4 linked regions of the Caenorhabditis elegans genome follow. The protein of the gene in region 3 interacts with the protein of the main gene of each other region in a pairwise test. Each region holds a gene or a part of one and is shown on either strand. Other genes may lie near its edges. The genes, in order: rtfo-1, R07B7.8, F45D3.2 and clec-208.

Region 1 (8,142 bases), 3.0 Mb from region 3:
CGCCCTTGAATATTACAGAGAAATCAGTAAAGCTTCCAGTTCGAATGAAAAAGTTAGATCCAATTAATTTATATACAGTATTCCCTCTATCACCTAATTACTCAAAGTTAGCAGTTTATATCTTGGTTGCCTTTGGTTCAACCAAAAATTGACAGCTGACCAAAAACTTACATTTTCTATTTCTATAGTTTTGCATTAAAAAATTATTGAAATGTTCCAGATAAACAGAAACATGAGCTTTAAAATAAGACTAGTCGGGTGCAAGACTATTAGAGAAAATATGCTTCAACCATTAGCAGAGAGATTTTCTAGATTGCTTCTAAATTTGTTAAGTTGTAGTTCAACAAATATTAGTATTGAGCATCAGAAGAAACGAAATGAAATATACAAATTATATCCAGACGTTTATGATAATTTCAGACTCCGTCCATCCACCAATGTTCAATGTCAAAAGTACACGGAAGCTGAGAAATACAAACTTCTTGAAGATGCTGGTGGTAGGAATCAGCTGTTTATGGCAGATTCAGTTGATGAAGCATCACAGAACTTTGCCGAGTCTTACACACCAAATCCACTTGGGAATACACTTGGAGATGCGGTATTTGTTGCACATTTTCAGCAGGTTTGGCTTTAAATGGTTTATGTTATAAACATTTGTTGTACATATGTGAGAGGATGTTACTATTAGTACGGCCCCTTGAGGGTATAGAGCAATTAGAAAAAAAAACGGTTGCAAGTTTCACGAGACTTGCTTTAAAATTATTTACATTAATTTTAAAAATTATCTATAACCGAAAAAGATTCATTTCGAATTTCTAAGTCACAACAAATAACTTTTATACATTTTTGTAAAACTTTGAATTCAGACCAATCCGTGTGATTCAAGATGTCAAATGATAAAAGCAGCGTTGAATGGTGAAATATCTCGTCGTTCATCTTCTCCATCAAATAATACAACAAATCCATTCGTCCGTGTTTTTGGACGCCTTCGTGCATCTGTATTCAGTGATGCTCATCCTACTGTACCTGGTAATTGTGCACTCGGAAACTTCATCCCTGTCGGAACATGTTCTGACCTTGGAGAAACTATTGATGGAGGCACACACGAATCGTTGTGCTCTGAATGCAGAGGGCTGTACATGCTCGGTGCTAATTGTTTTCCGAAGATTTTCAACACAGTTCAATGTAATTCACAGGAAATGGGATGTATTTTTGACACGTTCACTGATAAAGGTGAGATCATTCAGGAATTTTTTAAAGTTGTAGAAACGCTCTTCTGTGCTCACTACTTCCTAAAATTTATTGTTTAGAAGACGAAATTTTGTATACATCGACTATCAAATTTAATCTCTTCTCTCCGGAATTTAATACATAGAGGTTTAAAGATACGAACTTTCGTCATTTTTTATGCGCATGAGTCTCGCCACGCTGACAACGAGTTACTGTAATCCCACGTGGCCACGTGGTGTCAGCCTGTCCCATGTTGGTTTGATCTACGTAGATCTACGAGAATTGCGGGAATTTAGTCGCAGACTTCTCAACTATTTTCGCATTGTTAAGAACGGGCTGACATCACTTTTTTTGCGGCAAAAATTCCCGCATTTTTTGTAGATTAAAACGTAATGGGACAATCTGACACCACGTGTAATTCGTGTTCATTTCCCGCTACTGCATCGTATTTTTTTCAAATTAAAAGCAAAATCGCTGACAAGATTTTTCAATAAAAAATATTATGCAATGGAGACCCGTATTTCTAAAAGATAAATGAGCAAGAGTTACAGTAACACGATGCCCGATTGGGGAGACCTCGCCACGAGTGCAAGGAGATACTGTAGCTCGTGCCGACGTATGATCCGCTATTGCCTCATATTTGCATATTAAAAAGTCTTGGCGCAATTGTTCGTCTAATATTTAAAACATGAGACAATGTAGGCCCCGTAAATCGACACGAGCTACTGTATGTCAATGTCTGCGTGGCGAGACCCATGTACGTATTGTATGGCGAAAATGATCAATTTGGACGTTTACGTAATGAGAGCGTTCTACGTTTTTCAACTGAGGGGTCCGTTGATTACATGTAATTTGTGATTGAAATATATTTCCAGCTCATGGTCAATGTGGCATTCAGACCCTCTCATTCAAAGTTCTACGAAACACAGGGGATGATAATTGTGAGGATTGGATTGTTGAACAAATCCAGGTTTGTCTTATTTCTCTTATTGTATTAATCTCGAAATAATCTAATCCCTTCCTTTCCAGCTCCCTGTTGCCTGTCAATGCTCACTGAGCAAAAGCTCATTTCTTCGAGCCAAGCCGAGTAAAGAGCTGTAGCGCTTAAGATGTTAAATTACAATTCTTCGTTCACATTCCAAACCATTTCTGTATACCGGGTTTCTAATCCTGAAAGATGGAATAAAAACGTGAAAAGAACTTTGAGTTTATTCATTAATTGCACGAAAAATTATTAGAAAAGTTTCAAAAAATTCACACAGATTTTTGGTTTACATCCGTTAACCTAGGAATACAGTAGTCACAAGGAATCAAAAAAGGAATAAAACATGAAAAGATGAATGAGGGTGAAAATCAATAGAATCACATAGAAAATTTAAAATTAAAGGTTTGGGATTGGTGAGGAGTATCAGTGAGTGGGAAAGATCTAAAACAAACGGTGAAGGATTCATAAAATGTTCCATTTCTTGCATTCTGCAATTGCTATCTTTATTACGATTTATTTTATTCTGACGAAATTAAAAGCTAAAAAAATGTGTTCTCAAAAATTGGAAAAAATGAACGGAATAGTATAATGAAGGAATTGAACAAGTTTTGATCAGTTTATAAAACGAAAGAAAATAAGTAAAACGTAACGATGAGGGATGAGGGGGGTAACGCTGAGAAAATCAAAGAGATGTAGAAAAAGACAGTTCAAACTGCTGAGGATGGTGCAGCTGATGTGGAGGATCCAGCGTCACCACCTCCTGATCGACGCATTCGATAATCACTAAGTGACACTCCTCTGAAAATATAGCAATTAAAATAGTCCACTATAAGATGTGCTAACTTGGAAGAACTAATTGATGGACGTTTGTTTCCTGACGATTCCGGCGTACTAAAATCCTTCAATTTACCCAAATCGATGTCTAGATCAAAGTCATGCAGACTGGATATATCAGTTTTTTTCTTTATTTGAGTAGATGGAGGAGGTTGCGTCGGTTTAGCCAATGATGAACTTTTGTCTTTTCCGCCGTCAGATACTGAAAATTATAAAGTTATGTCAAAAAATTGATATTTCCTATTAACTTACAATTTGTGGTTGATGAAGATGCGGAAAGAGTTCCGTCAAGTCTTGATTTAGATCCAGAAACAACACGCATACCTCCCTTCTTACGTGTAAAAGGATCATCCTGTGAATTCTCTTCGATCTTCAATTGCCCACTCAGGACTTGGTCCTTTATTTTTGATCGATTCCTATGGTTAATGAACGCAATCGCACTAATTGACTTGCTTCGCTCTTTCTCCAATTCATCAGCTTGTCGTTCAATCTCATCGATTTTAGTTTGAATTTGTTCGGCTTCTCGAATGTCACCTCGTTGTTGAGCCAGCTCTTTTTGCTTGGACCAATTAGCTTTTGTCATAGCGAAATTTCGTGGAACTGTTTGATATTTGCTCTTTTCCTTGATCATCAGATCGACTTCTTTGTCCGAATACTTGTGGTTGATTGCTTTTTCGATATCTTGTTTTTTCTTATCCATAATATCGACGGTTGGAAGATTTCCGTGTCTCTTACATGCCAGAAGCCATTCATCAAACTCAATTTGTTCGAAATCAGCATTTGAAACGAATTGCATACGGAATGGTCGTTCTGATCCACCTGCAGTTAAGGTTGTAACAGATTTCAAATTTTCACAAGTAAATAAACAACTCACCATTCTGACATTTTATGATTTTATTTGTCTTTTTTCCTTCCAATTCGTAGACTTTGTTGGATTCCTCCACACCGACAATCTTCCATATCCGATATTTGCTTCCTGAGCCACTCATTTGCCCTTGTCCAAGTCGAACATAGCATCCTACGACAGTAGAATCAAAGAATGGGGCATGAATCATCAATGAAAGTTTATGACGGGACAATCGAGCTCTTCGAAGTTCCGAAAGTCCATCAACATCTTTCTTTACTATCTTATCTTTTTCGGATACACGTTCTGGTGATGATTCGCGGGAAGAAGATGATGAACGAGAGCTTTCGCTTGAACTAGACGAACTTGAAGATCCCGAATTAGCTCCAAAAACAGCATCGATAGAGAGTGCTTCGTTTTTTGCATTTTTCTTTTCGATCTCTTTACGTTTGTTCTTCAGAGCATCCATAGCATTCTTCTCTTTATGTTTGCGGTTAATCTGGAATAAAAATTTTTATTTGAAAAATAAAAAAATAAACTTACATCACTGGGTCGGTGGAAAGCAGCATCCATCTCAGAATCGGAATCCGATGAAGCTTTGCGTTTCGGGGAACCTGCATCACTTCCACCACTGTTCATTTTCCTTCGTTTTTCGGTTTTGACTCCCTTTTCAGAACTTTTCTTTGCTTTTTTAGCAAGTTGTTGAGCAATTTCTTCTCGAGCAATCGCGTTTTCACGAGCCTCCATCCTTTCAAAAATTTCTTGCTCCTTTTCCAATTCTGTCAATTTCTTCCATCTTGCTTTGTCTTCTTTGTCAGCAAATAAATCATCATCTACTTGGTCATCGTCACTACTTCCAGTAGCTCGCCGCTTTCGCTTTGTTAAAGTCTTCTTTTTTGCAGGCTTTGCCCTGAAAATGGAAACTCGTATAACTTTTTTTTGGATAGAAAACAGTAAAACTCACTGTGGTTTTTCGGCATCTGAATCGGATGCCGAGGAGTCGGTACTGAGAGGTTTTCCAGGTTTTGGACCTGCGTCTGAGTCAGAATCGGAATCTGAAGTGGCTGGAGCACGGCGTTTTGTCTCTTCGTCTGATGAAGCACTCTCAGAGGAAGACATTGTTGATTAAACTGACCCTGAGAACATAATTATGAATTGAATAAATTATTAGAGAACGGTGAGAAGAAACGGTTGTATAAAAGTGATGTAGAGCGTCTGACATTTGTTCTGGGAAAATCGATATCGACACACAGTTGCAAGATGGCTACGAACAATAGGTTTCATACAAATATTTAAACAAATAAAAGAAACAAGGAAAAGTGTCATATTTTTAATGATATATGCGCGTTTTTGTCGAAAATATTCGAAAAATTAAGAAAAAACTTAAGTTTCTCAAAAAATGTGTCAATATTGGATTCGAGAAACAAAAAGGACGGGTGCAATAAAGTTTTTCTACTCTTTGAATTAAGATAATAATAAAGAATCATTAAAAATCAATTATAATAACGAAAAACCAAAGAAAATACCGAAAATTAAGAATAAATTTTTACATTCAAACTGCACAGTGTCAATACATTTAGTCCCGCCCACTTTGCAAGCCGCGCACGCTATTTTGCAAGGTTGTCGCACACAATTGGGATATTGGCTTCTGTTGCTGTAGGTCATGGTGCAAGCTATGTATATTTAATGGATTTATATATAAATACCAAACACTTTTATAATCGATAAGGAAATTGAGAGACACTCCCATTTTCTGAAGTTTAGAAAAACTAATTCTTTAGTGCCCATCCTGTGGGAATCCGAAGTGTTCTTATAGGTTTTTCAAATCTCTTATGCTCTCACAGTATTCTCAAAAACCATTAATCAAGAAAAAAACATAAGAAGAGACAAGGGTAGATGGCTTACGGAAATACAACCCCTTTTCCAGGTTAAACGATGTAAGAGAAGAAAAAACGAAAAAAGAAAGATCAAATGCTCTTTAGTGAACAGTTGTTCTATTAAAGTGTTTAGGTAGACCTGGAGATACAGAGAATCAGAAATAAAGGATAATCTTTCTTTTCGTGTTTCCTGTTGCCATTCGACAATTAGTAGAAGTAGTAAGCGAAGTTTTCGAAGAAAATGAAGAATTTGCGGTTCGAATCCCATCGACACAATGGAGGAGCAGCTGAGGCAGAGTTTAATTTTGGTAAGTTATCTGATTATTGAAATACTGCATGTTTTCTTTCTACGAGTTTTTAAGAGAGACTCATTTGTGTTTAATACATAAAAAATTCCGTATAACGCAGACGTTTAGATATTTTAATGTTGGTTATACTTTACTCGCAGGGGTCTCGCCACTCGGACAACGAGTTACTGTAGCTCGTATCAATTTACGGCCCTCTATATATTTGTATATGCGCCTTCAAGATTACGGTAAATAATTGCGAAACAAAATCTTGATGTCCAATTCAACAAATGTTCACATTAGTAACATTCAATTTTAATTTAACGCTAAATATAGAGACTTTCTGTAAAAAACCCGATTTCACATTGATTGTCTAACTTTTTCAGTCCGAGTTGCCCGTATAAAATTTCAAAAGACTTTGTGAACGTATTTTATCTTATTATTCTTTTAAAGCTTCAGAACTCAAAACTTTCCAAATGTTCATATTTTCTCGAACACAATCCATTTTGCTTTTCCGACAGTTCTAACCATCAAGTACATGTTTATCCAGCCAAGTGGTTTCTCCTCTCTATATCACTTTCATTCTAATCGATCTCTCTTCCTTCTCACAAAACCGGCAATTGTATTGCGTGACGACGTACCTCTCATCACGCATTCTGAATGAATATTGAAAATTTGAATATTTGAAATGGCTATGAGCCTGCAACGTTCACTACTTTATTAGAACTCATCATGATTACTCATCTACCTGCCAGCCGATTGGAAGATTACTACTTGACTTCAATTTTAGGTGATTTTAATTTATTTTCTTTCTTCTCTTCATCACCAAAATGAAATAAAAAGAAACAAATCAATCATGCCACACCTCGAATGATTAGTACTAGACATTACTGAAATTAAAGAGACTTAGACAGTCATTCAACTGATTTGATAACTTGAAAATTTCTTGGAGTAAGTAAAAGATATGACTCTGTTCAATGCTTGAAGTGCCACGTCACAAGAGGAATGTTTCTCTGAATCTCTTAGAGACACACATTATTTTTTATTGAGTGCTTCACCTATTTCTTCTTGCCAAAAACCATTCCCGTTCAATCTCTATTGCTGAGCAAACAGTGTACCAAGACAAAAAGTTAAGGATGGCTCCAAACTTTTTCCCTTTTCTTCAAAGTTTCGTTTCCAGACCGTACCTTTTTTTCTTTTTTTCAATTCTAACTTTCAGTCTTGAATAATAATAATATATACATTACTTTCGATATCAAAACAAATGTCAGCTCCTCCTATCCGTTCTCTCATTTTTGGTCTCCCAACTTTAGTTACAGTCCTTCTCGTCTTCTTTTTCTTCTTATTGTCGTTCGTTTTTTTTTGTTGCATTCTTGATTGACTGCCCAGTCGACAGACAATGAAAAAAGAAACAGATGACGAAAAATCAGTAGCTACGGCGCTTCGATCCACTGCTGGTTTTACGGCGGCTATTCCTGTTGAAGGTATTTGAGTTAGGAATGCGTAAACCTAGAAGCTCGGTGTCTAAATTTGCTTGTTTTAGATCATGAACTTTGTGAAAAGAACTTGTGAATTCACTTTAAGTTCTAAAAAATAGGCTAGAGATTCCATCTAGATATGCTTTACTTGAATTCTGTTTTCACATTTAGAAACCAGGAAGCTAAAATTAATGTCTCGTTATAAGTTTCATATCGTACAACTGAACTTTTTTTCATTTCTCCCTATTTTCTTCATCTTATCACCTTCTTTCAAAACAAGAACGATTGAAGGAAAAATGAAGACATTCGGAGTTTTTTTTGGTCATTTCGGTGATGGCCTTCTTATTTCCAATTATCAGTTTTATTGCTGATAAATTTGATTCAAAGTTCCTAGAGTTGGTTCTAAATAGATTAAATAAATTTGTATCAAATGATTTCAAAAAATTCAAATATACTGCATATTAAATGTATATTAAATGTCGAGATACAAGATAGTTACAGCATTTTTACCATTAGACATGCACCATATTACTCCATTTTTTAGCAATTATTTTAGTTCATTTGCAGATATCAACGAATCTAATTACAAAATTACATTGGGGTTTTG
Region 2 (8,661 bases), 460 kb from region 3:
ATGATGAGAAGCTGTATAAACATACGCATCACCACAATGGAAACATACAGTTTTGTTCAATAATATATGGAAAATGAACTGGCAAATCTCTGACTACTCGAAGGGCAAGCACGGGATTATGACGATTCAACCTTTTTTGTGTTATATTTTGTAGTAATTTTTTGATCGAAAATAATAATTGAAAGGAATATGCATTTTTATGAACAATTTTCTGTCAAGCTCCATTTGAAACTCAATGCAATTCCTGACATAACACCACATTTCAGTTATATTTTATACCTCTAATAGTAAGAGAGTTCATGGTTTGCATTTTTGTTTCAGTTGTTTCAGAAAAAATCGTATTTCTGAGCAAAAAATCTTAACTTCAAGTGCCATAAAAACGAGTTTGATTTGATCTCTGAAAAACTTCTTGGGGATTCTGAGTTAAAAGTTCAGAAACTTAAACAATTTAAAAATTATTGAATACAAAAATTATTGAATACAAAAATTATTGAATACAAAAATTATTGAATACAAAAATTATTGAATACAAAAATTATTGAATACAACAACACACAAATCTAAAAACATTCCAGTCTTCCCATAGTTACCAGTGATTAAAAACCTCGACCCTACTGGTTTTTTTTAAAGAGGAAGCTCTGATTTGTTGTTTGTTAAAATTTGACAGTTTATTGAGAAACAACGATATTGAAATATTAACTAGTACAAATAAGAGTGTATAGTCTGAAACCCGAAATATTCGATAAAAAAATAAAAATCCGATTGCTCATTTCTTGCTGTTTCCCAGCGTCTTTATAAGTGAATTGCCCTGAAAATTTAAGATTCAGAAACATTTTTATTTGAAGATACTCACCGAAGATAATCCAAATATTTCCGGAGTAATATTTCCCAATTCAGCTCGTTTTGTCTTTTCGCCAACCGGCTCGAAAAGATTTTGCCAATAGTGTTTAGCAACAATAGCTTGACCAAGTTTGCCAAGATGAAACACATCATAAGCATAGAGTGCTGAACTGTAATTGCCAAACTCCTGGAAAATAAGTGCCTTATATTCTTTTCAAAAAGTAGAAGATTTTGTGTACTCACATTTCGGAAAGCATCTGTATATTCCGTACCAAATGGTTGAACAACAACTGTGAATTCTCTGTCATCAAACTTTCCTTCGTTTTGAATTTCATACGATGCATTTCTGTACGAATCACAGAGCTCATCTAGTTGCTTTCTACTCTCAGGAGTTCCGGGTCGGTTTCTGAAAATCCATTAATAAATGCAAGTTACATGCTAAGCAGTACATACCCTGTTCGCAAAATGTAATATGCTTCCTGTAAAAGTTGAGGTGGGAACATTCCAATTATGCTGACAATTGTTCTTGGAAGATTCTTCTTCAAATACAAAAGACCTTCTTCAATAAAAGCTTTGTATTCTTTAACAGGTATTGGATTTTCGGAACCGAATACAAGATTTCCAACATCATTAGTTCCAATCCATAGAGATACTAATTTCCAGTCTTTTTCAATGTTTATCTGAATACCAAACATTTGTACTTTGTGATAAAGAGGAAAGGTACCTCTTTGTTTGCTTTGATTCTGCTAACGAGATCCTTTGCTTGTCTCAAAATATCATCACTTTTCATTCCACCAACAGCAACATTTAATCCCGTATTATTTCCATAACCTACTCCAGTGCTGCCTCCAAATAATTTGTTTCCAGTCTCCTCAGCAATAACGCGGAAAATGTCTGAAAATTTTTATTGAAAAAAAAATCGAAAATGGTGTTTTACTGTAAATTGATAAGTGTCCATCTATTTCTTCATCGATTCCAGTAAAAAATGAGTTTCCTGGATTAGGACCATTGATTCTCTCAATGAAATGACTAGCACAATACCCGATCTGAAACTTATTTGAAAAAGGATGTAAAGTGTTTTAAACTTACAGTTAACGAATCTCCCATTGCACCAATTACCCGAATATGATGAGGTTTTACTGAATTAACATCATCCGGATAAGTTTCACGTGGATCAATTGATTTCAAATAATTATCCAATGCCAATTTCGCGTCGGGTTTTGCCACGGCCAGAGTTTGAGCTTCTAAAGTTAGGATATTAAACATTTAAAAAGTTGAAGAGAAAAATAGACAAACTGAGTTTCATTTCTGGAGTAGTGAAGTTCGAATTTTCTTTTTCCTTTTCTGCGTTTTGAAAATCGATGCCATCTGAAAAAAGGTAAATCAGTTGTTGTGATTCAAAATTTACCACTTGTTTGTATTTCTTCAACAGTTGTATCTTCATATTTCGAGCTCTTCAAGTCATTGTATGTTCCGGAGTTTTCTGAATAGACTTAATGATTAAAATGGTTTTCGTGAATCAACTGGTTATCTGAAGTTAGAAACATGTTTTATGAAGTTCAATTTTAATTTCTCTAATGTGCAACAATTTCTCTGAATGTCTGTAACTCTACTTCAAATGTGTTTCTCTTCTCTTCTTCTTTTCTGTCTGCGTCACTCACCCTCATTGCCACGAAACAATACAAACAATAAGGTAAAAACGAACAGTAATCCAAGAATATATACAAGAATATGTCGAAATGGCGGGCGGAAAATACTAGAAACTGATGAAAATGTTGGAGGTGAATAATAATCCTTGTATTCCTGAAAATATTTATTTTTTTCATCTCAAATAAATATTATTTCTCACTTGTTCGTAGAAATTGTCTATATCAGTGGGAATCCTGTGATATGGAGCGTTTCTTTTTAACTGAAAAAACACAAAGTAATAAATTAGCTAATTGAATCAAAAACTCACGAAAGCTTGCAAATTCGGATTCATAGTTTTTATAAAAAAGGTAAGAGCGCTCTCGTTGTCTAACATGCGTATTTTGGAAATAATATAGAAGGTAGAGAGGGAGAGGGAGTGGGGAGTCAAAAAGTATTCGCAGATGTATTAAATATTTTGAAAAAAGAACGCGATATGTTTAATGAAAACTTCATCAATATTCGATTGTTATCTAAATTTCATTTCGGATCTACTACAACTTTGCATTGTTTCGTACGAAATTTGCATTTTTTGTTTGAAATAATAGTTTTTGTGATACCATAACCGAGAAAAATTTAAAAACTTACACTGTTCATTATCGATTCTCTTAGAAGTAAATAAATTAAAAAAGCTTATGAGTATCTACTGATCTTTAAAATATTCCTGCCAATTTGGATTTAGTCTCTAGATCTAGAGTCCGGACATTTGACGTCACAAAAATTCTGCAAAGAATTTTCTTTACAAAATTCTTGTCAAATTTTCAAATCCACGTATTACCACAATTTTTAATGATAAAAAGAAATTTGGACACGCTAATTTCTCGCGAGTATAAATGTAAAATAACTTGACATTTTTTCGAAAACTACGTAATTTTCACATTGTAATTGACAAGAATTCACAGTGCGAAAAATTAAACAGACGGTATTAGTCTTTAAAATTTGGATCATGAAAATAACACAAAATTTGATTAAATCATCCTAGTCAAATATTGCATAGCAGCTATTTCACGATGTTGGTTAATTGACTCATGAAGAACAAGCAAACAATTGTAATATTTTTAAAATAAAAATTGAACTATATTTCGCACATTGTAAACCAACTGTATCAAATGTCTCAAAAATGCCGAAAGTTTGAAAGTTGGTAGTTCATACTTTAGGAATGTTAAACACTTTCAAATAATTAACTTTATCACAAATCAATTTGACGATATTATCTTGAATTTTCAATATTCCTTTATTTTGTGACGTCGTGATTTCATAAACTTTCCGACTCCTTCATGACGTAAAATATAATGTTTTATTGTGTTGCGGAAATGAAGGTTAAAAAAACCCGAAATTCAAAATAAGTAAATCTGAAATACAATCACATCTTGCTATTTCCGACTGTTTTGATAAGACAGTTCTTCTGAAAAAAATAAAATGAACAAAAACGAGTCTGAAATAAATTTTATAAACCTCATTTAGTTCGTATATTTTTGGTTTCGTATCTCCTAAATCTGCTCGTTTTGTCTTTTCTCCAACTGGTTCAAATAGATTCAGCCAGTAGTGTTTCGCGAGTACAGCATGTCCAAATTTGCTCAAATGAAATAGATCTGAAGCATAAAATGTCGGGTTGTACTTTCCATGCTCCTGTAAATATTAAAATTATTAAAGAAATTATTTCTATTGTTAACAGAGATGCTTATTTTTTTGGGATATATTTTTTTTGTTTCTTGGGAAATTTTTACAAGGAATTTTCAAAAAATGCCCAGTTTTCAAGCATACTGAAGTGAGAAATATTCTCAAATATATTTAGAAAGCTGTTTGAAATTGTCAATGCGACTTAAAAATGACTGTTTCCTGCTTCTAATGAACTCAATGACTGTTGTTACACACATTTTAATAATTGAGAAATATACCAAATTAAAAATTAATGTTCTCAATCCTCTATTTGAAAAAAGGTCTTACATCTCGATAAGAATCCGTGTATTCTGTTGCAAATGGTTGCACGACTACAGTAAAATCATTGGAATTAAAATGTTCGTTATTTTGAAAATCGTAAGATACATTTCTGTACCCATCAGACAAATCATCCAATTTTTTCTGGTTTTCGACGGTTCTTGCTCGTTTTCTGTAAAAAAGTTGTTATCTGGTTAAAACAGATTTTCATAGAAAATAATTTGCAATAAAAACAAAAAAAGCTACCTAGAAAAACACTAACCCATTTTTCAAAATTGACTGTGCTTCCTGAAGAAGTTGAGCTGGAAACATACCAACTATACTGACAATAGTTCTTGGAAGATTCTCTTTCAAATACAAAAGTCCTTTTTCAATATGTGATTTGTACTCATCAACTGGAATTGGATCTTCTAGACGGTAACCAAGTGTCCCGACATCATTTGTTCCTATCCAGAGTGACACAAGTTTCCAGTCATTTTCAATGTTAATCTTAATATTTTGAATTTAAGTTTAATCTTATAAGCTATATAATTAGGAAACCTCTTTGTTAGCTTTAATTCTGCTAACGAGTTCCTTTGCTTGTCTTAAAATATCATCACTTTTCATTCCACCAATCGCAACATTCAATCCTGTATTCTCTCCGTAATCGATTCCAGTACTTCCACCAAACAGTTTATTTCCAGTTTTCTCCGCAATTATACGAAAAATGTCTGGAATAATATTTCAAAAAGATTTAATTTAAATTAAGTTCATACTATAAACAGTCAAATGCCTATCGACTTCAAAATCCATTCCAGTAAAAAACGCGTTTCCAGGGTAACGTTGTCTCTGCCCAACAATATTTTCTGCGCGAGACCCAATCTTAAACAAGTAGATTTAATTCAAATATTTTTTGAAATGGACTACATTTTTTATATAAATAAAATAACTAACTGTCAAAGAATCTCCCATTGCTCCAATAACTCGAATATGATGCGGCTTAATCATATTCACATCATCCGGGTAAATTTCATGTGGATCGATAGAATTCAAATATTTCTCCAAAGCCATTTTTACTTCTGATTTGGCAACTGCTAGTGTTTGTGCTTCTGAATAAATAATTAATTCAATTTTTTAAAAGTTGGCTTAAAACAGACTAACCAAGATTCATTGCCTTAGAAGTATAATTTTTTACCATATTGGTGTAGTTTTCGAGATTTTCTGAAATAAAAATAAATGAACACAAGGAAACGGAGAGCAGTTTTTGCATTGTCTATCTCTCCATGTCAAGAATACTCTCTCAATTGTGTTGCAATGTCTGCGTCACTTACCTCTATTGCCACGAAACAGTAAGAAAAAAAGGATAGAGACAATGGTAACCACAAAAATAAATAATGTTACATTTCGATACCGTCTACTACATTTGTTCGTAATTGACGAAACAGTTCGAGATGTGCTATGATCTTTGTAATCCTGTAAATTTATTTGATTTTTAATAGTTTTCAATTTCTTACCTGTTTATCGACATTTTCCATATCACTTGGAACTCGACGATACCGGGAATTTTTATTCCACTGCAAAGAAACATATAAAGATTAAAAAATTTCTCAAACTTACAAAAGCCTGCATTTTTTAGATTTCTTTTGAGATGCTTTGGGATGCCCGTAGAATGTGAGAGTGGGGAGATAGAAGTCAAACAATTTCCAACGACTTGCACGCGTTTGTTGCACGCGAAAATTTCAAGCATTTATACATAGGTGGAGTAGGACTGCTGGGAATATTGTCTGAATATATTTATCCAGAACTACCGAATATTACATGTACAATCTTAAAAATTTGATTTCGGAAAACATTCAGTCAAATTGCCAAATTTACGAAAATTGGGGCTTTTTGGTAAATTATAGTAGGACATTGCGGCATTCGGATCTTTCAACGAACAACTTTTGCCGTAAAAATAAAAATAAAAAGTTAGTTGGGTAATTCATTTTTCTCATCGACTTCCAAAGTTATGAGCGGATGAAAACTGAATAATTGGAGCTTTTCGACTGAAAATTATTAAAAAACATTAAGTTTTTAGAAGTTTTACTACAAACATGCATACATTTGTGTGCCTATAGAGAAATAAAATAATCCCCCAGAACTATCATGACAATTAAAATTCAAATAATTGTTTTTATCTATAATTTCAATGAGTCTCTGAAAGAAGCTCTCAAAAATGTAGAATGCCGAAACATCGTCAACTAATATTTTAATTGATATTAGAATGTTTTGGAAGTTTTCTGATCGATGTGAACACTATAATCAACTTTCACAGGAACACAACTTTCAAAATTGTTTGTGTTGTGGTATCCACAGTATCTCCAATACCACCTGCGTCTCCACTTTCATTCAGTCTTCCCAAAAGATGCAGTTCATAGATTTCCAAGTGTTCGACAATATGCTGTAGTGTAGAAAAATATCGATTAAATATCGAAAATATCGATGTGATCTTTGTCCATTTGTGCAATCTGTAACCATTCAATCTTATCACTTTCCGTCTTTTTATGCATTGAACTGTCTCTCATTTTCTATTAAATTGTCGGGTTAATTTTACTATGTACGCCGATTTCATTGCAGGATGGGCCGCAGGTTTGTTTATTTTTTGTTGAGAAATTCTGTACCATCCAAATGGGAAGTTTCAAAAATTCGAACTGATTACCACATTATAAATTTAAAATTTTCTAGAACAATTATATTTTCTACTTTCAATAACGGCCAAAGTTATAGCTTCATATAAAAATAAAGTTTTTGAACGATTAAGATTTTTATATGACTTAAAAATTTCAATTTTAAAAAAGCATTTAAATATAAATGCACGATATCTTTTTACTGTGATTCCAGGTGGAGCTGGTCTCCTAGTTGGACATCCTTTGGATACTGTTAAAGCTCGCTTGCAGACAATGAATATTTATAAAGGAATTGTAGATTGTATGGTAAAAACTATGAAACAAGAATCTGTAAGTTAACATATTCAATTTGATTTGTACCATTTACAACTTGACAGGTCTATGGTCTCTACAAGGGAATGTTTGTACCTTTTATTTCAACTGGTGCTCTACATTCTTTACTTTTTGCTGGTTATGGAGCAGGTCTCAAGTTTTTAAATCCTGGTGATTCAAATGTTATGGCTCGTAAGGATTTACCAATGTCAGATGTAAGTTTCAAAAAAGTTTACTTTAATATTTTATTAGTTTCATACAGATTTTGATAGCATCTATTTGTGGAACTCTAGTACAAGTCGGACCAGTTATTCCTGTGGAATTGTTAAAGACCAAGCTTCAGGTGAGATTTTTATAGAATACAACTTTATAAAAATGTTTTAAAAAATTTAGGTTCAAAGAGAAAACATTGGTCATTTCTCAAAACACTCAAGAAATCTCTACGCTGGTCCATTAGAGTGTGCTCGGGAGACTGTTCGTGCTGAAGGAGTGCGTGGATTATTCAAAGGAGGAAGTGTTGTTTTTTGCCGAGATAATATTGGATACCTCTTCTACATTCCAGTATATGAAGGACTTAGCCGTTACTTTAGAAGCCATAATTTAGAGAATACATGGACGCAGGTAATAAATAGATTCTGTAACCGATAATAAAGTTGAAATTATTTCAGCTTTTTGCTGGAGGTTGTGCTGGAGTCAGTGGATGGATTTCTGTGTGCCCGTTGGAAGTTGTGAAAAACCGGATTCAAGCTGATAAAAGCCATAAAACATTGTAAGTTTGATATTGCTGCTTCTTGGAAAATATAACGATTTCAATTTCAAATTTCAATTTTAAACGTCGAAACTTATCTACCGTAGTAAAAAATTAATATTTAAATAGCTTTGAAAAATGCGGCTGGACTAATGTAGACTACCAGATACTGTTTAAAACTTAAGATTAATGAGCTTCCCTAAAAATATATAATTTCGCCCAAAAATTCAAAAATTGACAAATTAAATTCCATTTAAAAAATATTTGAAGTTAAATTTTTAAAGTTTTCCTGGAAATTTGAATATTTAATGTAGGCCGTCCAAACCAATTAAGTCTACAATATTATTAATTTTTGTCCTCTAACTCCATCACATGTTCGGAAAGATTCAAATTTTGTACGGAAACTATATACATTTAATCATTTAAATCTGCGTACAAACAATGCAAATATTTTCTTTATCAAAAAATGTATTGGAAACAAAATATTAATTA
Region 3 (7,450 bases):
ATCAATAGAAAATAGTTTTCCTTAGATTTAAGAAGTGCAAAAGTCGTAGATCATGCGTCTAGAAATTTTGCTCGTGCAGCAGAAAGAAGTTAGATGGAAGAGGTGATGTGAGATGCACTAAAGAAAAAATAACGAGAGTTGAAGCATTTAGTACAAGGAATATGGTAGTTTTGGAGGAGAAACATTCTAAGTGCAGAGATGATGCTCCGATTCAAGAGCAATTGTACGCAATCTGCAAAACTAAGTCTTGTGGTGTATCAATTTGCAGCAATTGGAAAACATTTGCAAAAAGAATAAGCATAATAGGAGAAACTTCATTTCATGCCGCCCAAGTAAAAAAAAGAAGTTTTGAGCCTTTAAAAATTTAGGTGGATTAGGCGGTTAGTCGAAATACATAATGTAGAATTTTTTTAAATTGCCAAATGTTTAAAAAGTGTGCGGTTTTTTCGCATGTTTGAATCTCTTCAATATTTGCCAAAAAATGTTTTAAACCTAATTAGATTTCCTAGAAATAATTTGCCTTCCAAAATTATGACTGGCAAAATTTAAATAATCAGCACTTTTGCCAAGTTTTTTGCAAGTTTTTTGCACTATATGAGTGGATTCCAACCATTTATTCATTTGTGTCACATCACATTTAAACGAACTGTGTGTTTTCCAAAATTTGATTTCAAGCTCTTATGCAAGTTCGAACAATTCAGATTTTTTTTACGGCAAGTATCGCATTTCATCTTCAAAAATTTCGCTTGGTGTATAAACTACTGATGTGCATCCAAGAAGATATTCTAGTTTATTTTGAACTTGAACTATATCTGAAATTGTTTTGAGGCACTTAAAGTTGCGGGGCACTAAAGTTGGCGGGAAAATTGTGTCGAATTGCACTCTACGGGTCGTGATTTTTAAAGTGTTCACGATTTTGTAAATATTTCATTACATCGATGATCTCCTTTTTACAAGTGTGCCAACAACATTCAATTGAAATTTAAAAAAAAAACACCGCGAAACGCCCGTGAAGATTTGCTGTATACCCCTGAAAAATATTTTTTGTGCAAAAATAAAATATTCCCGTTTTTATTTTAATGTCAAATTGGTCTCGAACCATTGGAACTTGAACCTTGTTATTCGGTAATCTTTTTTATTTGGGACACTTTTTTCAAAAACTAACACATTTTCCTATTTTAAATATTCAAAATAGCCTAAAATTGATTTACCAACTTATAAATTGTTGCTGTCTTATCACACTTCTATTTAAAATGCTGTTGAATCAAATTCAAACAGTAAAGTGCTTTTACCGGACACCCACGTTCTATTTTTGAGTTGTTTAGCTACTTATTTCATCAGGCACATTTTTGTTTGCTTAGGAATAACTGTACTTCATAAGTCATATTTCTGAAAAGCACTTGCAAACGTTGTAAGTTCACTGTAAATTTTGTTTATGCTTTGAACAACTACAGTCTTCATCTAAACTTCGAAGGTCATTCTCTGAAAATGTGACATTCTGCTGAAAGACTTCCGCATCCCCCATTGCCCTTTTTTATTTTCCTAAAAACTGGGTAACTGATCAATGAAAGTGCAAAACGGAAACTGGAAATGAGAGAAAAATGACGTGAACTTGTCGAAAACAACTCAAAAGTCTAAGCCACATGATTTAAAATAGTACGGTACTTGATGTGTTATTTTTTTCTGAAAACTACATTTGGATGAACTTATCAATTTGCAGAATGTTTATTCATATTTGTTTGTACAGATTGATTATTTTTAGAATTTAAACGTTTAATTTTTACAAAAAAATGTTAATCATTTGAAAGGCTGGGCAATGTTGTGAGAATTACATTGAGACGTTTGGAAATGAAGGTTTAAGCTTAAAACAGGAAATACAAAGTTGGAAAATATGAAACGGACATAAAATATTAAAGCATTGAAGTTTTGTTCAAAAACATTAAAATTAAATTTTCCTCTTTGACCATCCAAAAGAAACAGTTCTAGTCAAAGAGAAAAAAAAGAGAAGAGCAAAAAATGGAACGGGGAGACGAAAAATGCACACGCAACGGTTGATCCTTGAGACGTAATAGTGAGTAGTTTTTGAGAGCAAAATAGGGGCTATTTCAACGGGGAAAACTGTAACCTATCCATATTGAGTAAAATTGAACTTAGAGTAAAAGCTGGTTGAAAACGAAAAAGAAGTGGATAGGTATAAATAATGAGAGCTAAACGTTCTACTCTGCAGCTACAAGTTCCTGACGCACAGTTTCCTTGACCAAATCATCAAGTGAAAGGCCTTGTTGTTTTTGACAAAAAGCTTTTTTCTCCTCATCGGTTTTATCGTCGAGTTGAAAAGCTTCAATGCACATACATGCGACTGCCGCTTGGATTCCTTGAAGCATGACTAGTTGTGAACGGGGCTTCTGCTGAAAATAAAAAGAGTTTAAAAAATGTATTTCAAATTTCAAAGAGTGTGCAAATTGAAATTTTATTGAACAATTTAAACTTAATGACAGATCAAATAAAAATCAAATACTTTACTTTCACACCAGAGCTGCGTTTTTAAAATTAATTTTCTAAAACAAAAATTGGTTGTAAAATATGCAGTTCTGTCAAGCACGACAATATCATTAAAATGTGAAAAAAGTAGAAGAATAGAGAGAAGATTTCGATTTAAACTATTAAGAAAAGGAAGAATCGAAAAACTACTAACTTGTGTACCTGATACTTTGGGTAGTGGCGGAATGGCGAATCTGGTCCGACCTCGTCTGGAAGGTCTTCGTCTCGAATAAGACGGCGAAGTGGGCCACTTGCGCTGACTTCTGGCTCTAATTTTTGAAGGGGCATGGATTTGAGCACTGAAATTTAGAATTGTAAATTTAAATTTATAAAATTTGAATATACGACTTACATTCTTGAGTTTTTCTTCTAACAAGATCCTCTTCCTCTTTTGTTACTTGAATTGGTCGAACTTTATTTGGATGCACATCTGCATCATCATCTTCTACTAATGTTCGGAGCACAGATGTAGTTATAGAGCTTGATGAGGGAGACGAATTCGAGGAACATGTAATGGTACTTGTTGTAATTGGAAGTGATGGTTCCATCTTTCTTGTTCTCTTTCGTCGTTTCTCTTGATCTTTTCCGTGTTGCAAAGTGGCAGCGCTTGAAAATGCTCTTGGGCGTCCATCAGCTGCTAATCCAGCAGTAAATTGGTTAACTGGTGAGTTCATTGCAGCTTGAACATCTTTTTGTTGTTGATAAAGGGCTGAGTTGATAAGTCCCAATGATTCGATTGTTGAGTGTGGTGGAAGATTCAAGTATGGCAAAGTAGACAAAAGTGGGAATCCAGTGAACAGGCCAGGATAGGCACCTAGGGAAAGCATTGAAAGTGCTGTCATATCGTTGATTGGAGGAAAAATACATGAAGATGTAGAAGTAGATGCCGATAAATCACTGCTTGATGCAGATGATGGTTTGCTCTGAAATAATGAGATTTTGATTTATATTTTGCATATTTGATTTAAAACTTACAGTTACTGGGTTAAGAGTCAAATCATGTGGCAAGGCAGCAATAAGAGCCTGAAGCTCAGCGCTTCCAAGCTGGGAAGTCAGTTGGTCCATTTCTTATTCTTTTGAATGCAAGGGAAAAGAAGATATCCCTGAAAATATTCGAACGTTTTTCAAATGTCACTGTAATCGTTTAGGAATTAGAAAAATAGGAAAAGGAGGAACAGACTAGTGAATCAAAACGACAAATCGCAGTGTCGAAAACAAAAAGGACAAGGGAATCTGGAGGCAAAGTGCAGAATTTCGGCGGCGGCGGCGCCCGCAAGTGTACTGAAACTGGAGATTCATCTCTGAGCGAATGTGATCAAGTTTTGATGGAAAAATGTCGGAAGTCTAACAAAAAATTTCAGCTTCAGTCTCTGCCAAACAGGGAATTCGAGGGAAAAAGTGGTGAACCGGTGTCCTCAACAATACACAGACCACGCACACACACACACACGTCTATTCTATTCTATTTTGTCACTTTTCCTTCTATTTTTTCTTACTTTCCCTTCTAGCTTTGTCGTTGTTTTTTTCCCGGTTTACTCTCACTCTCCACACTCACATATGAAAAACAAGAAGTGCTTTAGAGACAGACAGGCGTGCGCAATTGGTTCCAAAAAGGATATGAAGGTGCCCTTCATGGTATATAAACGATGATGATCATGACAAAAACTGGAAACTGAAAAGGTGAAGTCAAGTGTACTTCAACTGAACTTTTTGCTTAAACTAATAATTTTCAAGATGCCAAAATGAGGATTTAAGGAAGATCGGATGCCAATTTTAGGGTTAGACGGATAAATGAGGGATTCGATGTCTTAAAAAACAATCAGTGACTCAAATGCACTTTTACAAAAATGAACTGATATGAATAGAACTTTGCGTGAAAGCGTAAAACGATTTGATAAGCTTCCTGACAACTGTGACCAAAAAAATGACAAGCCAAAACGTGAGTAGCATGGCAATGAGTGACTGACGTCCTGGCATCTCGACAGAAGGCTCCGCCCACTTACGCTCTCGGAAAGGAAAAAAAGATGAAGAAGGGGGTGGGTGGGGCATTGAGAATGCTAGGAAAAGTGCAAAAGAGGAGGAGAAGAAAGAAGATTATGGAAAGGACTAATAAGATGCGAGCAGCTGAAATTAATGATGTAAAACTAAAAACATTATTGGGCACAGGTTATGCATTGCTCAGATAGTTCATATTAAATTTATCTGCACTTGTTGGCAAATATACAAGAGATAGCAGCTGATTGATATTCTAACTATGGAATATGAAAATTTACTTGAGCACGAAATTGACGTAGTTCTCAGAATAACTGAAACAGACACATGTACCAGACACATGGACACACATCATGAACTTTTTGTTTTGTTTTTATTCTTCAATAACTGTTCTGATCGTGATCACTAAAAGTTCGCTTTTTTGCTATTCATTTCTATTATCTAACTCATTTCTTATCACAAAAAGGCATCATGAAGACGGAAGATAAAAATGTGATTGAGACCAGATCAGATTAGAGAAGCAATAACAAAATAGCAAAAAGTACAAATTGACCACGTCAAGATCTCACATGCAGGTGTTATGTGTTATGTTACATTATGAAGAAAAAATGAGTCAGTATCTATCAGAAAATCTGACTAAGATTAAGCTTGAATAAGGAAGAAAAAGGAAAGGAAAAGGAATGGAGAAGTATGAGAGGTCGACCTTTCAGTCTGGGGATGCCTAGGAGGCCTGGCGCTGCGGGGAAGTGCGAAATAACAAAAGGGCATGTAGAGTATGATGGAGAGATAGACGACACACACATTTTCTCTCCACGCTCAGAAGAAAAAGACGGAAAAAGAAGGACCCGTTACACAAATTGATGTACCCTCTATCTCTTCCTTGGTGGAGACTGGGAACCAAAGTCGATGTGAAAACCTCATGGGAATTTGGCTACTGTATTTGGAAAGAGAATTCTTGTGGTGACGTTAGTGATTGGGTCACAACTAACTAAAAACAAAGATCCAATAAAAACCTTGACATGTTATAAAAAGTTTAATGAAGAAGAGGAATAGAGATGGAAAGTGATTCAAGATTATCGAGAAAAATAAGATCTTTGGCAGTAGAGGCCAACTCTCGTCTTGACAAATTGATGGAGTACTTGCGATCAGAAGAAAGTTGAAAGTCTAACATGAATCATATAAGATTTCGAATAGTTTGCATTTGTGAATTAAAGTTTTGAATAGCGAAAACAATTTGAATAATTTTTTAATTAAATGTTTAGTATGTTTAATCGTCAGTTGTAAGTAAGTGACCATTTGGATTGGGATACTTGATGAATAAATATTTTTGGAGTATAAACAAAATCTTGTAATCTTTGGGAAGATTAGCGGAAACCTGTTGAGATGGTAGGTACACCATCTCACTACATATCGACATTAGTATCTGAATATCAAACCCTGTAGGTGAAAATGGTGGGGGCGGTACGACCGGGTCGCCCCGAAGGAGAAGGTGCCCCGCCCCATACGGTTTACACTGAGACGCAGGACAAGGTATAGAGGGAGGGCGATGGCGGAAAAGTACATGCAAACTTTCTATTGTGCCCTACTACTACATTTGCTTCACTTACCGACCATTGAATTAGGTTCATGAGTGAGCAATAAGATCTTAAGATTTCCAGAGAGTTCAAGAGCAACTTTTCATACCACAATAAATGACGTGGCCGCTTTTTTTTCAGATGGTGAATGAGAGTGAGAACCAGACAAAAACAACAAAATAATTTCAGAGAACACTACTGTGTGGCAAAGGGAAAAAAGAGAAACGGGTAGCCGTCGTGTGGGGTTTCTTGTTCTGCAGCTGAGCTAGTGCAAAAATGGTGCGATGGCGAAAACAACTTTGGTGACTCAGAGAACAGAAATATTCACGAATTTAAGCAGAGATCAAGATATTCAGCAGTTTCAGCAGTTTATTCTTCAAAGATTTCTAGACGATAACTTAAACAGGTGCATCAAACTTTGAGCAAAACTGTTTGAACCAACTTAGCATAAATTAATCTGGTTCTAATTTTAGAATTTAAAGCTAATAGTTTTAAAGCTTTGGGACAATTCTCTGGGGAAATAGGAAAATACGCTCTACTGAGGCGAAAATGAAGAGAACAAGTAAATAAAAGTGTAAGCAAATATTATGTGAGGAGTTTGAGTCGAGGTGACCAACCGGTGACGGCGATGGAAAAACCCGAGAAACGAAAAAAATGCACTTTTACTTCTGTATACTCAATAATGTTTTGTTGGCACTCGCAAGAGTACGGTAGGTTATTACAACTGACTCTGACATTTGACACCACCACGCCTAGAAAACAATTGTAATCCGTAATCTTTGAAGTTCTATGAAAAGTGCAAAATCCCATCTACCATTTATCTTCTGACGGTCATTTTGACAGACATGGAGGAAAGGACAGGTCGTAGAATGGTGAGTGTGTGTGCGCCAGAAAACTGGCAGAACATCTTCTAAAGTACATATGTACCCTTTGGCGGATGAAACCGTGAAGATTGAATGGACTTTTCGCATGATTACTCTAACCGCAAAACTTTACACAAAAAATCTTAGTAGGATGAGCTTTTTCTTGAGCATAAAATTATAACTTTACGAAAGTAATAAGATATCTTCAAATCAAGCTATGCTTATCATTTCAGATATTTTGATAAGAAAGATGCAATGAGCACAAATATCTTAGAAAAACTGGAAAACAGTGTATTTTCAGATAAAATATTGTTGTTCCGAGCACCTTGATGTACTAGGTGTTGCTCGAAGATTTGAAAAAAACAAACCCGTAAACTACGAACGGATATAAATTTTTAAGATTTCGTTTCTTTTCGGATTATATATATATATATATATATATATATATATATAGATCACTGGATACGACTGAAAATTTGT
Region 4 (6,682 bases), about 10 Mb from region 3:
ATAAAAATAGTAATGAAGAAAATATTATAATTACTGATAAAGCTAGTCCTAATTTCAAAGCTCGTAAAGGATGAAGCCTATATCGATATTTTGGTAGCTGTCTGAAGCTTACTGTAATTGGGAGGACATAGGGTTTTAAGTATTCGGAAGTTTGAAATTTCATGGGCAGGATAGAAGCAAAATTTTGAAGCTGAATCTACATAACTATCAATTTTTGAACCTAGCGATCCCTATCTAGAAGACGAGACAAGGCCTAGGCGGCCTTTTTTTCAAAAAATTTAAAATCAGATATTTGGATCCTGTTCGGAACAAGCATAGCTCTGCAAAAAAAAAAATAAAAAAATATATACGGATAAAATCAAAGACAAAAGCTGTTGCACGTGAAATTCTATGTATTGCTTCGGTGTTTAGCAGCCGGCATTTACCGGGTTAGAAGCCATTTTCTAGCCGTGTTAAAGCAGCCGACATTTCAAGGGGTATGAAAAGTAACTCCTCCAATCAGAACGAGCGACGCTTCACGGGACCAATTTTTTTGCCGTATCGCTCAAAAAACATTTTCCGTTATCTCCCGGGTCAATAATAATAATTGAGTCATTATTTTTTCCTCTTTATCAACGTCCCAAATAAATATAGCAGCCGACATTCCACGGAATCACCAAATTACTAGCTTCCGATCACAGAAAAGCAACCGACATCTCAAAGGTTCCACATATTATATTCTACTTGCTCTATCTTGAGCAGCCGACAATTTATGGGTGAAATTTTCTGCGAAACTATTCAGCTGACAACACATCCAAGGTTTATTCTTTAAACAGCAAGCAAAAGATCATTTTGTCCCCCGATTTTATTGCAATCGAGAATGTTGCAAGAAAGAGAAAACTAAACGTTCTTTATATCATAATTATTTTCCCGATCTCCATATAAAAACCGAAGCCCCAAGATAATACAAAACATTTCGGAACATGCTAGTAGTTTTTCTGTTCTTGCTACTCTCTACCACCTACGGTATCGACTTTTCGGATTCATCCGAATCATGTGAAGATGGTGGACGGGGTGGTCACAATCACGGACGTCCACCAAGACCACCAGGCAATGGTGGAGGTGGAAGAGTATGCGACGCCGGGTGGAAGTTCTTCTCGAGACCAAGTGGTGGATGGTGTATCAGGGTGGGCTACAGTAACCCTTTGATATTCTACAATTTGTGATTCAGGTCTTCGCAGGCCGCCTCGGAAGAGATTCTGCAAACCAAGCATGCGCCACTCAGGGAGGAGTACTCTCAGGGATGCAGAATGTCGAAGAGATCAACTATATTGTTTGTAAGTTCTAATTTTTTTGTAAAACTTCTGTAACTACTGCAAAATTGCAGCCCAGTCTTTGAGCGTGATTTCCCCAGCAAGAAGTGGGGGCGTTTGGGTTGGAGCTCGACGCCGACCAGCTTGTATCAGCTCAGGAATCACTGCAACTTGTACAAAGACTAATAGCTTCTACTGGACTGACAACTCGGCTACTGGAATCAATGGAATGCTTTTCACGAATGGAGAGCCAAATAATGGGTTAGTCGAATGGGTTTTTAGTAAGGTTGCCTTTGTACGCCTTCGCACCTACCATCTTCCTACCTACGTGTCAGCCTGATGCGTTCAGGCAGATACGCGACAGGCAGGGATGTGGGCATGATTACCTATTCCGAAAATTTTCAATTTTGGCAATTGCAGCTATGACAGAACAATATTGTACTGGCCTGTCTCGCCTAAGAGACCTGCCTACAAGACCGCCTACCGCCTAGTTTTTGTGGCGTTTAGTAGGCTTGCCACTATCCATTTGGGTAGACGTTGGTTGCTTTGTAGGCACGTAGGCATTCTCAAAATCTCAACTTTTCCGTTTTTCAGAGGGGTAAAATTGGATCAGGATTGTGCACTGCTTACTGTAGCCAGCACCCCGGTGGTTTTCAACAAATTCAGAACTGGACAAATGGATGATGTTCCGTAAGTTCTTGTTAGTCGGCATTACCAACTTGGCCATTTAACTTACAGATGCACGTGGCAGGATCCTACCCCAACCGCCGACAAGGCCAACAAAGGGTATGTGTGCGGAAAGAAGGCGAGAAGATGATCTGTATAACTTTTTTTAAAAATAAAAATTCTGTATTTTATAATGTGGTGTATTACTATCATATAATGCTAGCAATCCGGATCGAAATTGAGAATTTTAACGAAAATTTGTTGTTTAAAAAAACTTGTATACAGTTGTGCAAAATAAAAACTTTCAATGAATAATAAAAACTTTCGTGAACTTCGAAATACAAAACAAAAATAACGGCTACGAATCACTACAGATTTCCCTTATTTCTGGAAGTTTCAAAAATTTGTTAAAATGCATGAAATTGTGTTGCTTTTTAAGGTAAGCCAAGTTTCAGATTTCCCCAGCTTTCAAGCCATTAAAAAATTTTCAGATAATCTTCCAAATTCTTCCACTTCTTCCGGTCCTTTTCATGTTCAAGAAATCAAAGCCAGGTGGGGCTAAGCCAGTTATGAATGCTCCGATAATAGCTTCACGGTCTTTTATACTGAACACGCGCTAATTTCAGCAGCCGACAATTTACGGGTCTGTTTTATTCTATTCTGAGCAGGTGACATCTAACCGGTAAGTTTCTACCTAACTTTTTAGCTGTCACCATCTTGAAACAGCAAACAAACAATCATTTGTCCTCCGATTTTATTGCAACAAACCGCACTTGGTTGCAGGGAAGCGGAAGCTAAACTCCTTTTTTTTATTATTATTTTCCCGATCACCATATAAAACCCAAAACTCCACGCGTTACGAAACATTTTGAAACATGCTAGTTGTTTTCCTGTTCGTGCTACTCTCTACCACCTATGGTATCGACTTTTCGGATTCTTCCGAATCATGTGAAGATGGTGGACGGGGTGGCCACAATCACGGACGTCCACCAAGACCACCAGGCAATGGTGGAGGTGGAAGAGTATGCGACGCCGGGTGGAAGTTCTTCTCGAGACCAAGTGGTGGATGGTGTATTAGGGTAGGTTACAGTAACCCTATGATATTCTACAATTGTGATTCAGGTCTTCGCAGGCCGCCTTGGTAGAGATTCTGCAAACCAAGTATGCGCCACCCACGGAGGAGTACTCTCAGGGATGCAGAATGTCGAAGAGATCAACTATATCGTTTGTGAGTTTTGGCTTTTTTTGAGTAAAACTTAAAACTTCTGAAACCACAGCGAAATTTCAGCCCAGTCTGTGAGATTGATTTCCCCAGAAGTCAGTGGTGGCGTTTGGGTAGGAGCTCGACGCCGACCAGCTTGCATCAGCTCAGGGATCACTGCAACTTGTACGAAGACCAACAGTTTCTACTGGACTGACATCTCGGCTACTGGAATCAATGGAATGCTTTTCACGGATGGAGAGCCAAATAATGGGTAAGTCAGATGGGTTTCGGTATGGGTGCCTTCGTAGGCAGGCACGTCTTCTCTGCCTCGTAATAAATTAGGCTTGACAGGAAGGCACGTCTTCCTACATACGGCCTGATACCAGCCTGATGCGTTCAGGCCAATAGAGTGGCATGCACGTGGGCATGATTACCGATTACGAAAACGTTCAATTTTGGCAATTGCCGATATGACCGAAAAATATTGTACCCGCCTATCTCCTGCCTGCCTGCCTGCATAACGGCCTACCGCCTATTTTGCAGATAGGCGTTGGTTGCCTTGTAGGCAAGCACGCATTCTATAAATCTAAACTTTTCCATTTTTTAGAGCTGCTGCATTGGATCAGGATTGTGCATTGCTTACGGTTGCCAGCACCCCGTTGGTTATGAACGCTTTCAGAACTGGTCAAATGGATGATGTTCCGTAAGTTCTTGTTGGTAGACACAACCAGCAGGGCAACCTAATTTCCAGATGCACATGGCAGGATCCTCGCCCATCCTCCGATAAGGCTAACAAGGGATATGTGTGCGGAAAGAAAGCGAGAAGATGATCTGTATAACTTTTTATTTTGTTGAATAAAAAATTTTGTATCGGAAAACTTGCTCAACCAAAAAATTTGAAAATTAAAAAATTTAATAGTTTTCACGAGAAACGTGATGGGAAAAACTTGCATTAAACTTGCACAAATAATACAGTTGGAAAAATAACTCAACGTGAACTTATAAATACAAAATAAATAACATCCACGAATCACTACAGATTTCACTCATTTCCTGAAGTTTCACAAACTTGTTAAAATGTATGAAATTGTGTTGCTTTTCAAGGTGAGTCGAGTTTCAGATTTCCCAAGCCTTCAAGCCATTCAAACAATTTTCAGATAATCCTCCAAATTCTGCCACTTGTTCCCGTCCTTTTCATGTGCAAGAAATCAAAGCCAAGTGGGGCTAAGCCAGTCGCGGATACTCCGCCAGCAGCAATGATTGCTCCACGTTCTCGTACACCGTCGCCAGGAGCCGGCAAGCGTTCAGTGCCACGCGATGGAGTTTCATCGTCAGTTTCTAGCTCGACGGTCTCTAAGAACGAGCCAGCGAAGAAAAGCCCCAACAATCGTGGCATGTCGCAGACTCAGGAGGTATGTATTTGTAAAATTTTCTCGAGTTTTTGATGTCGCCCGCGAGTCAGAAAGTCTCATTCCGCTTTGATCTACGAAAAATGCGGGAGAAGAGACGCAGACATCTCAACTGGTTTTGCATGGTTAAGAATGAAAAAATTCCCGCATTTTTTGTAGATCAAATCGCGATGAGGCTTTCTGACACCACGTGGTCCGCGACTTGCTCGCTGTAGCCCCCTATTGCTCGGTGCTGGCATTTATCAAATTTTACAAACTTTTTAATAAACTTCCACATTTCAGGTCACTATCAACAATGGCTTTGAAATGGGCAAAGGGAGACAGAGCCCCGTCTTCAGTGTTATCGTTTAGAAGTATACTAGCATCAATAAAACCGTTTCAAGCTCTTCATTTTTTTTTATATACAAAGCCTGATATCTCTATTCATAGCATCCCAAATTCCTTGTAAAATAATATTCGGTGACAAAATGGAATGTGTAAGGTTTTGTGACTTTCCCGGAGTGATAGAGACCATCAGAGTGTCGACATGGGATTTTGTCGTTGTTGGGGAGCTGGAAATATTATAGGTAAGGTAAATTTTAAAAACGCCTGCCTGCCTTGTGACTACACCTACCAACGAGTAGGCAGGCATAAGGTAGGCACATCTCACCTTGCACGCTTTCGTATTCACACATTGCCCCTTTCCCTGCTTTTGAGCTTCCAGGCAAGCCTTCAATTTTGTTGAATAATAATCTTCGGTTGGCAATTGTTTCACAAATTCTTGAATACTCGGCATGAGGAGCGTCCTGGAAAATTAGAAAATTGAGATTTAAAATATGTTTCCATAGAAGATCAAGCCTCGCGCTTCCAGTTGTTTTTTTTTAATAATTAATTTAAATTAGAAAATCGTATTAAAAAACTATGCAAACACGGGACACCGGACTTTACGCAAACATGCAGAAAACCGGCGGTAGGCAGGCAGGCACCAGTGCCTATCTACGCGCCTCCAAGAGCACTTTTATAGATTTACAAATACACATGGTGTCAGGCTGTCCCATCACGGTTTCATCTACAAACAACGCGGGAATTTTTTGCCCAAAAAATGTGACATCAGCACGTTCATAACCATGTAAAATCTGTTGTGGATTTTGAGTCTCAACTCTCACAATTCTCGTAGATCTACGTAGATCAAACCGAAATGAGACTCTCTGACACCACCTGCAGGTGGCGTCAGAAAGTCCCATTTTGCTTTGATCTTCAAAAAAATGTGGGAGAAAAGACGCAAACATCTCATCCGATTTCGCATGGTTAAGCGCGTGCTGACGTCACAATTTTCTGGAAAGATATTCCCGCATTTTTCGTAGATCAAACCGCAACGAGACAGCCTGATATCCTTTGCACCTGCAGATAGTTATCTATCAATGTCGGCTGTATCAATAATGCGACGTCACGAAAATGTACCCCTTTCTTGAGAAACTCGATAATCAGATTTCTTTTCGATCTGCGATTTCTGATACTAGTGACTCTCCCGGAATATCAACTAACTCTTTCAATTCTTGATCAATCTCTGCCAGCTGTTCCTCACTCAAAAGTTGCCTATCCGTAGTCAGTGGATTCATTGGGATTACTGTAGAGTTGTCGATTTCGGATGTCTGAAAATATACTAAATATTTCCTGTAATTTCAGCCCATCGACTACTAACATATTCCAAATTGCTGAATCTTAAAAATGCATTCGTTAAAATCTCTTTTCTAGTCAGATAATGTGGCTTATCGTCTTGCTCCGCCAGGTAGACCGGGTGCTTTTCAGCTTCCGTCGAGTAATAGGCCCATGTGGAATTGTACCGTTCTGGGCGAACAATTGCTCTTCCCATTTTTAAAGTTTCTCCGGATTGAGCCCTCGTCAGAAGTGCTCCGAGACTTTGGTTCTCTGGGGAGCTGTCTGAAATTTGCTCTTTTAAGTAGAAGCCGAAACGCCTTGCATGAAGCAGGCAGGTTCCAGGCAGGCGCCAGGTCCTAAAACCGCGCCTGGCTACCATAAAATTCCTAATTTTGCAAAATTCGCAAAATACAAAATTAATTGATAACACTTACATTTCACAGACTGCTGTTCTACAACCTGATAATAAAGTG

What was found.
Region 1: the proteins of F45D3.2 (region 3) and rtfo-1 interact in a two-hybrid assay, tested with the Caenorhabditis elegans proteins (one large-scale study listed by BioGRID).
Region 2: the proteins of F45D3.2 (region 3) and R07B7.8 interact in a two-hybrid assay, tested with the Caenorhabditis elegans proteins (one large-scale study listed by BioGRID).
Region 4: the proteins of F45D3.2 (region 3) and clec-208 interact in a two-hybrid assay, tested with the Caenorhabditis elegans proteins (one large-scale study listed by BioGRID).

The regions. Positions count from the first base shown.
Region 1 is NC_003283.11:9,577,616-9,585,757, forward strand, and holds rtfo-1 (RNA polymerase-associated protein RTF1 homolog), read right to left. Parts: upstream 5,030-8,142; 5' UTR 5,013-5,029; coding exon 4,858-5,012; intron 4,804-4,857; coding exon 4,437-4,803; intron 4,393-4,436; coding exon 3,924-4,392; intron 3,869-3,923; coding exon 3,302-3,868; intron 3,252-3,301; coding exon 3,059-3,251; intron 3,014-3,058; coding exon 2,923-3,013; 3' UTR 2,426-2,922; downstream 1-2,425. Other genes in the region: F25B3.2 (CTCK domain-containing protein), read left to right, coding at 1-52, 421-622, 867-1,233, 2,106-2,200, 2,260-2,331; K09G1.1 (MARVEL domain-containing protein), read left to right, coding at 7,457-7,541. UniProt on the Caenorhabditis elegans protein: Component of the PAF1 complex which is a multifunctional complex involved in transcription initiation via genetic interactions with TATA-binding proteins, elongation and transcription-coupled histone modification.
Region 2 is NC_003283.11:12,077,389-12,086,049, forward strand, and holds R07B7.8 (Lipase_GDSL domain-containing protein), read right to left. Parts: upstream 6,929-8,661; 5' UTR 6,766-6,928; exon of another isoform or gene 6,228-6,765; 5' UTR 6,073-6,227; coding exon 6,061-6,072; exon of another isoform or gene 6,018-6,060; coding exon 5,958-6,017; exon of another isoform or gene 5,917-5,957; coding exon 5,775-5,916; intron 5,665-5,774; coding exon 5,605-5,664; intron 5,553-5,604; coding exon 5,398-5,552; intron 5,326-5,397; coding exon 5,220-5,325; intron 5,175-5,219; coding exon 5,005-5,174; intron 4,954-5,004; coding exon 4,727-4,953; intron 4,637-4,726; coding exon 4,474-4,636; intron 4,156-4,473; coding exon 3,982-4,155; intron 3,932-3,981; coding exon 3,890-3,931; 3' UTR 3,697-3,889; downstream 1-3,696. Other genes in the region: R07B7.9 (Lipase_GDSL domain-containing protein), read right to left, coding at 767-808, 854-1,027, 1,084-1,246, 1,294-1,520, 1,565-1,734, 1,778-1,886, 1,930-2,084, 2,137-2,208 and 4 more; R07B7.10 (SLC (SoLute Carrier) homolog), read left to right, coding at 7,038-7,071, 7,324-7,439, 7,487-7,636, 7,684-7,764, 7,815-8,042, 8,090-8,190.
Region 3 is NC_003283.11:12,537,234-12,544,683, reverse strand, and holds F45D3.2 (Homeobox domain-containing protein), read right to left. Parts: upstream 3,646-7,450; 5' UTR 3,607-3,645; coding exon 3,517-3,606; intron 3,465-3,516; coding exon 2,894-3,464; intron 2,841-2,893; coding exon 2,704-2,840; coding exon of another isoform or gene 2,696-2,703; intron 2,409-2,695; coding exon 2,217-2,408; 3' UTR 1,707-2,216; downstream 1-1,706.
Region 4 is NC_003283.11:2,095,120-2,101,801, forward strand, and holds clec-208 (C-type lectin domain-containing protein), read left to right. Parts: upstream 1-2,833; coding exon 2,834-3,037; intron 3,038-3,080; coding exon 3,081-3,186; intron 3,187-3,246; coding exon 3,247-3,433; intron 3,434-3,769; coding exon 3,770-3,865; intron 3,866-3,913; coding exon 3,914-3,992; 3' UTR 3,993-4,039; downstream 4,040-6,682. Other genes in the region: gtnt-26 (Glycosyltransferase family 92 protein), read right to left, coding at 1-163; clec-207 (C-type lectin domain-containing protein), read left to right, coding at 963-1,166, 1,211-1,316, 1,367-1,553, 1,887-1,982, 2,031-2,109; F36F12.7 (uncharacterized protein), read left to right, coding at 4,240-4,266, 4,320-4,574, 4,854-4,922; gtnt-25 (Glycosyltransferase family 92 protein), read right to left, coding at 4,991-5,122, 5,221-5,356, 6,096-6,202, 6,253-6,491, 6,644-6,682.